Linked DNA regions of Sus scrofa. The protein of the gene in region 1 interacts with the protein of each later gene in a biochemical or structural test. Links are inferred from orthologs where the notes say so. Each region holds a gene or a part of one and is shown on either strand. Other genes may lie near its edges. The genes, in order: HDAC3 and NR2C1.

Region 1 (2,683 bases):
TGTATCCTCCTTAAATTACCAGAAGAGGAGGTTACATAACTGACTTAACAGAGGTCCCACAGCTAGTCAGGTAAATATCAGGGCTGAGATGCAAAGCTGAGTCTCTGAGCCTCACCTTATAACCCTGGTGCCCTTAGAGGTCCCTCAGACTTTGCTTTCCAGGCAGAGGGGGCCTTTCCTGCTTGGGTCCCCAGCTTCTCTTTGATGCCTTTCTCCCTTCTTTCTCGCTTACCAGCTGTGGGCAAGATAATTCCATTATTAGTCATTCCCGTTCTCCCAGAGGGCAGTTTTCCACACGCACGAGAACGGCGTTGAATACTCATTGGGCCTTGCATTGCTTTCACGCTCCTTTGCTCTCTAGAGGTTTATTGGATGCCATGCCTCTGTTTAAAGCGCTTCTTTCCATTGCACTAGAAGAAAAGCCAAGTTTCCTTTGTTTTTTTTTTTGGTCTTTTTGCCATTTTCTAGGGCCACACCCATGGCATATGGAGGTTCCCAGGCTAAGGGGTGGAATCGGAGCTGTAGCCATCAGGCTACACACCACAGCCACAGCAATGCAGAATCCGAGCCGCGTCTGCAACCTACACCACAGCTCACAGCAACGCCGGGATCGAACCCACAGCCTCATGGTTCCTAGTCGGATTCATGAACCGCTGAGCCACGACGGGAACTCCTAAAGCCACGTTTCTGATGGTGGCTTTCTAAGGACTTGCGTGCTGGCCCTTCCCACGTGCGGGCTCCTCTCTGAGGCCCCTCCGCCCTCCACACGTCTGACCGTCCTGACCCCCTTCTCTTGCTGGAACCCGTCCGCTCCGTCGGCCTTCGAACCTCTGTACTGGTGTCCTCACGGGTTGGACCGCCCTTCCTGGGCGGCTCCTTCGCAGGGGAAGGTCCTCCCTTCTTCCTCCAGCCTTTCCTGACAATCCTGCCTGAGGTTTTCCCCTCGTCCTCCCACACTCCCAGCCACGTGCTTTCCCCCCTGAAATGACCGTGGTTATGTTTTTACTTTGTTACTTATCGTCAGCCTCGTTTATTGGAGGGGTTTTTGAGGCTAGGCAGCCATTCTGTCTGGCTTGCTCTCTGCTCTCTGGCTATGGCAGTGCCTGGCACAGAGTGCTCTCTCAGCAGGTGTTTATGGATGCATGAATGGGCGTGTGAATCCTGACTGGTCGCTACGAGCAGGAGGAGAGGCGCGGTTCCCCGACAGCGGGGGCCTGGGAAGTGGCTCCAGAGAGGGTGCCTGTGGGGGAGAAGATGGGAATTGGAGAGTGGGAGCCTGACCTCTCTTCCTGTCTTTCCTTGCTTTGTAGGCCGGAGGCGCCCAATGAGTTCTATGACGGAGACCATGACAATGACAAGGAAAGCGATGTGGAATTTAAGACTGACTGGGCTTGCCGTGTCCCCAGGAATTTCTTTTTTCCTCTTAGTTGGGTGGGAGGGAAAGGTGTGACTCCCCTACCCCTGGTCTGGTTACTTTCAGGGCAGTTACCAACACCGGGGGAGGCTTTGGAGACCACCTCTGGTTCTTGAACCAGCTGTTCCCTTTCTTCTCCCTCCAAGGCTAGACCACGGTACCTGTTAGGGATCGGATGGGGATAAGGATAGACGTCTCTAGGACCTCTCGGGCCGTGGGCCCTAGAGGCCAGTCCCAGCCCTTCTGGCTTCCTCATTCCTTCTCTGCTTCCCTCCAACCCAGAGACTTTGGGGATGAAGGAATAGGCAGCAGTACGGTTGCTTCTGACGTCCACCTCCCCAGGCTTCTCCTACTGCAAGCCTTGCTTCCAGGTGAAGAGTAAGGGATTTTAGGGAGCCCTGGCCCCCTAATACTTTAACCCAGATAATGGGAAGTGTGACTTGGAAAGGGGGGAGGATATGAAAATGTCCTGCTCTAACTTTTGGCTTTATGTCCATTTTACCACTGTTTTTATCCAATAAACCGAGTTGGTATTTTTTGTACCTTTTGCCTTCTGGGAATGTTTTTTTATTTTTTGGCTTTTTTGCATTTTCTAGAGCCGCTCCTGAGGCATAGGGAGGTTCCCAGGCTAGGGGTCTAATCGGAGCTGTAGCCACCGGCCTACGCCAGAGCCACAGCAGTGCGGGATCTGAGCCGCGTCTGCAACTACACCACAGCTCACGGCAGCGCCAGATCCTTAACCCAATGAGCAAGGCCAGGGATCGAACCTGCAACCTCATGGTTCCTAGTCGGATTCGTAAACCACTGCACCACGACGGGAACTCCGTGGGAATGTTCTTAATTCTTGCTAGCTGTCTGTGCACGAAGAGCGAGGAGATGGGTTAATATGTATATAATAAAAATCATGGTAAACATTCATTCTGCACGTACGTTACCTTAGGACATGTGTATATTATTCCATGTGGATGATCTTCCTTGTATGTGGAGGGTTAACAGAGCATTCTAGTCAAGAGTTAGACAAACCTGGGCAGAGCAGTTACTTGAGGAGGAGTCGATTCAGGTGTTGGACGCTAGGTGTTGGGAATGGTGATGCTGATTGCTGAACGAGCACTGAGAGGAAACATGCCAGGTCCTGAGCCTGCTGTAAGCAGTTGCTCATTATCTTCATTGTCTTTGTGAAAAATGATGCCAAATACTGTGGTAGCCACAAACACGGACTCTTCCCTGGAGGCGTTTCCAGTCCAGCAGGGAGTGAGATAAATGCTGTGG
Region 2 (4,441 bases), on another chromosome or scaffold:
AGATGAACCACACAGACCTGTTTTCCTGAATCATAATTAGGGGTAGCTCTCTTTCACTCATACAATATATTCCCAAGCTGGCTTCTACTTTCAAACTTTATTAAGTCAGTTTACCATGACTTAGGTGAATTAATTGGATGATAAGGGGGTAACCCCATATTAGGCACTGAGAATAGAGGAAAGGTCTCAGATTGCCTTTTTCCATTGGACCTACAGTATCCTTTCTTAGTTGTCACCTTTGAGACTTAACTATCTGATTCCAAATTTGACTGCCTGCAGGAAGGGCTGCCTTAAAACCACCAAACACAACAAATGATACTAATAGGAAAAGGAGACTTTGGAGAATGAGACGAAAAACATATTTCCACGTGTTAAGGGTTGGTGCATGCCCCTTTTGTGTCCAGCTGCCTGGGTCCAGAGGAAAATGACAAAAGTGATGTTCTCCTTCTCAGCTCACTTTTGTTTTTCCAGACTTGGGCTTCCTGAATCCCTGACTGCTTTTCTAGTGCCTATCAATACTAAAAGAAAGCTCTTAATGTGAAAACCACACAGGGCAGCTCTTCCTGCTACACCGCCATGCTTCTGGTAGTATCAGAATGTGTTCCCTTGTGGCTAGAGTTCCCACCCTGGCTCAGCGGTAACAAGTCCGACTAGTATCCATGGAGATATGAGTCCAATTCCTGGCCTTGCTCATAGCCTTGAGCTGTGGTGTAGGTGACTCAGGTCTGGGATTGCTATGGCGAAGGCCAGCAGCTACAGCTGCAATTCCTAGCCTGGAAACTGCCATATGCCAGGGGTGTGGCCATTAAAAAAAAAAAAAAAAAAAAAGAATGTGATGCTCCGTCAATGCCTCTTCTTTTCGCAAATGTTTATTGCCCTTTAAGCACTGTCCTATAAGCTTGGAAACAAACCGCTGAGGAAAACAGACTAAAGCCAGTCTTAGGAAGATTACATTCTAAATGATTTAGAATATAATCACTAGCTCCGTTTGGCCATTAAACCTATTTATTCACAAGAGTTGACTAAGTAAAACTTCGCCACATACAGGATTATACCCCAGCTTGTTTTATTTAAGGTAATTTAAAATATTTTATTGGGATGTACCCTATTTTGTTACTCTTCTAATAAACCTTTTAGTCTAAGGTAAGAGAAAGTCTGTTAACAGAGCCAGATTCCCACAAGTTAGAAACCGAACTGTCATAAAACTGATTCGGTCATTTATTTTTGCCAAAATCGGATCTTCCTTTACCACCTTTTGCAAACGACGCTAAACAAGCGGCTTCTAAAAGTGCCCATAGGGCTCTGGCAGTGCAGTCTCCCTCCTACCCGATAGGGGGCAGCCAATTATTCAGAGGCTGGGTTCTCTCATCCACCCAGGGAACGTCACGACCTCCTCTCGCCACTAATGCGCAGGCGCGGGCGGGAGCGCGCAACGAGGAGCCGAGGGAGGGGTCACGAACTCTGACCCCCCCACAAATACACAAACCCCGAAAGCTCCCTGCCCCCACTTTTTAAAACCCTTCCCCCTTAGTTTTCTCCAACCTGCCTCTTCCCGGAGGCCCCCCCCCCCCCGCAGCAGCCGCCGCAGTGGGACTGTCCGGTCTACGCCCGGGGAACGTAGCTCGGCAGAGAAGCGCCAGTAAGAGCCGGTGAGGAAAAAAGCGGCCGTAGCCGCGCCCGGGACGGGGGGCGTAGGGCACGGGGAGGTCCTTTCCTCCCAACTGCCAACGGCTGCGTCCCCAGTTCCCGCAACAGCCTGCGGCTGCAGCCGGTAGAGCCCGCCCTCTGGCAGCGCCGCGCTGCTCGGGGCGGGCTGGGAGCGCGGACAGCGGCCGGAGCGGCGAGGCCGACTGTGCGGGGCTCCGAGAGAGGCCGAGGCCGTAGCCAGGGCCGGGCACGGGGCCCGGAGCCCAAAGAGGGGCCGGAGTGGCGGGCGCGAGAGGGAGTCCGCGAGCGGCTGGGCGCGCACGGCAGCCTCTCCCGCGGCGCCTCTGACCTTTCACCTACAGGAAAAGCTTCCGTCTCGGCGCCGCCGCCGCTTCCCCCGCCTTGGGGAGTCGAGCGCCACCGCCGCCGGGCCCGGGATGCAGCGTGGGCTCGAGCGCCGGCGGGACGCTGCGGGGTCCACCTGGCCACTCGTGGGCGCGAGCCGAGGCCCGGATCCCTTTCCCCGCGCGGGCCTCTTACCTAATTCTCGTGCTCACCCAGGGCAGACGGAATAACGCTTTCAACTTAAGAACGGATGGGGCGGGAGTGGCCGCTGCCTTTGGATCTGTATCTTTTGCGAAAGAATGGATCGGCCGAGGGTCCTCCCTGAAATGGGCATGTCCAAGCTTCCTGGAGCTCTTTTGTTAAGAAACTACCTCCAACTCCTGCAGATAGCGTTTGTTGAATGGTAAATGTTGCCAGGTTGTCTCGTAACCTTCACCAAATAGGTCACCTGTTTAAAAAATAATGCGAACTGGAAAGGAGAAGCAAAAGGGGTTGAAATTAAGGCCTTTGGGGTTTTGTGCCTCCTGAACTTGTAAATAGACCTTCGACTTTGAGGTTTTTGAACAATGCCTGCTGCGCGGTTGGTTGGTACACAGTGATTGTTTTTAGCTTTTGCTTGTGTGTCACTTTGGTAGATCTAAAAGAAATATTCCTGTTAATTATTTTTAAAAAGTGGATCACATGAGATACATTTTCATCATTCTTTGTAGGGGCATTTCCGTCTTTTTAGGGCGGGTTTTGAGGGAGGCACAAATCAAAGGCGGCAAACATTTCCAGAGTAGCTACTATCTGTGGGTCTTGTACACAAGGAATATACTTCCTACCCGTGGAGAATAGAAAAAAGAAACTGCATGTAATAAAGGATGAATAGTGTATATAATTATACCTTTTTTGAGCCATAAAGGACCCTCTCCAGCCTCTTAAGATCTTTTATGAAAGCCATGGACTGTCTCTAAAAAATGTACTTTTACATAAAATTTTGCATGCTATATGAGAAGTAAAAGAGAAGTCTCTTCTTGAATCCTAGTTAACCTTAGTATGCACAATAAATGCTGTATCCATCTAGAAAGATTGAGTTAAAAACAAACAAAAACATTAGAACTGAGTTTTAAAGGTCGAGGTAATTTAAATGCAGGAGGAGGAGCTTGGAATTGTGTATTTGGGAATAAGAACATTCCACTTTGTCCTGAACAGAGGCCCCTTGGGACTGGTAGGAGTTAAAAATGAGAAGATGAGGAAGACAGGCTTTAAAGGATGCTCCTTTGTGTCTGCAATGGCAGGCATGTTATAGGAACTTAGGAAATATTGAAAAAAATCCAGAAGGGCTGAAACTTTATTCTTTGACCATTAAAGAGGCACTCACAGTTCTGAAGCGGGAGCATAGGATGTATTTCAGTTTTTTAAGCATCTCAAGACCTTGCTCTTGGTCACATATGCTGACACAAAGGTGATTCTCGCCTTGTAGGGTATTTTCGTACACAGAGTTGTGTAAAGTAAATATTCATCCAGTAAACTCAATTCTGGCAGCAGCTGAAATTATACTCAAAGGATTCTTAACTTGAAAAATCCTTGGACTGACCACAGGAGGTTTTATGAGCCCTTTGAAATTCGGCATGTACCATCATTTGTAGTGTGAATGAACATAAACTTGTTTTCTGGTGAGGGAGACCTTAACTTCCGTCAGATTTTCAAAGGGATGTGTGACCCATCCCACCAGAAAAAAAAGAATCCTTGTCTTAAAACCTATTTTCAAGCTTTTTTTGACTGCCCCACAGAAAAATAAATTTTGCATCATAGCTCGACCTCAACACATACACACAGATTAAATTGAAACGTCTTCACGAAACTGTTCTTAACCCTCACTGTACCTGATGCAGTGTTTTCTATTTTAATTTCCTCCTCCCACTGGCTGCACCTGCTCTATGGAAGTTCCCTGGCCAGGAGTTGAATCAGAGCTGTAGCTGCACGCCTACACCACAGCCACAGACATAGCAGATCCGAGCAGCATCTGCAGCCCAGCCTCAGCCTGCAGCAATGCCTGATCCTTAACCCAGTGAGCGAGGCCAGGGATCCTCACGAACACTATGGCATGTTCTTAACCTGCTGAGCCACAGTAGCAACTCCAAGAGAACTCCTTAATTTACTTTTTTTTAAGAAAATTTGTATTTTCCCATCCATAAGTGACTCACAACAGGAAGTTTGCAAAATCCTGCTTTGGGTGGCAGCATTCTGCAGTTGGTGGATGGAAATGGGACTGGTGGGAACTGGATATGGGAGTTCCCATTGTGGCTCAGCAGTAACAACCTAGCTGGTATCCCTGAGGATGCTGGTTCCATCCCTGGCCCCGATGAGTGGGCTGAGGATCTGGCGTTGCTCTGAGATGCAGTATAGTTTGCAGACATGGCTCGGATCAGTTCTCAGGCTATAGCTACCTGACCCCTAGCCTGGG

Evidence for each region.
Region 2: the proteins of HDAC3 (region 1) and NR2C1 form a complex in vitro, tested with the Homo sapiens proteins (4 studies listed by BioGRID). The link is inferred for Sus scrofa from reciprocal best matches to the Homo sapiens genes HDAC3 and NR2C1.

The regions. Positions count from the first base shown.
Region 1 is NC_010444.4:143,272,462-143,275,144, reverse strand, and holds the end of HDAC3 (histone deacetylase 3), read left to right. Parts: intron 1-1,310; coding exon 1,311-1,530; 3' UTR 1,531-1,957; downstream 1,958-2,683. UniProt on the Homo sapiens protein: Histone deacetylase that catalyzes the deacetylation of lysine residues on the N-terminal part of the core histones (H2A, H2B, H3 and H4), and some other non-histone substrates.
Region 2 is NC_010447.5:88,229,863-88,234,303, forward strand, and holds the start of NR2C1 (nuclear receptor subfamily 2 group C member 1), read left to right. Parts: upstream 1-1,326; 5' UTR 1,327-1,649; intron 1,650-1,952; exon of another isoform or gene 1,953-2,395; intron 2,396-4,441. UniProt on the Homo sapiens protein: Orphan nuclear receptor. Binds the IR7 element in the promoter of its own gene in an autoregulatory negative feedback mechanism. Primarily repressor of a broad range of genes.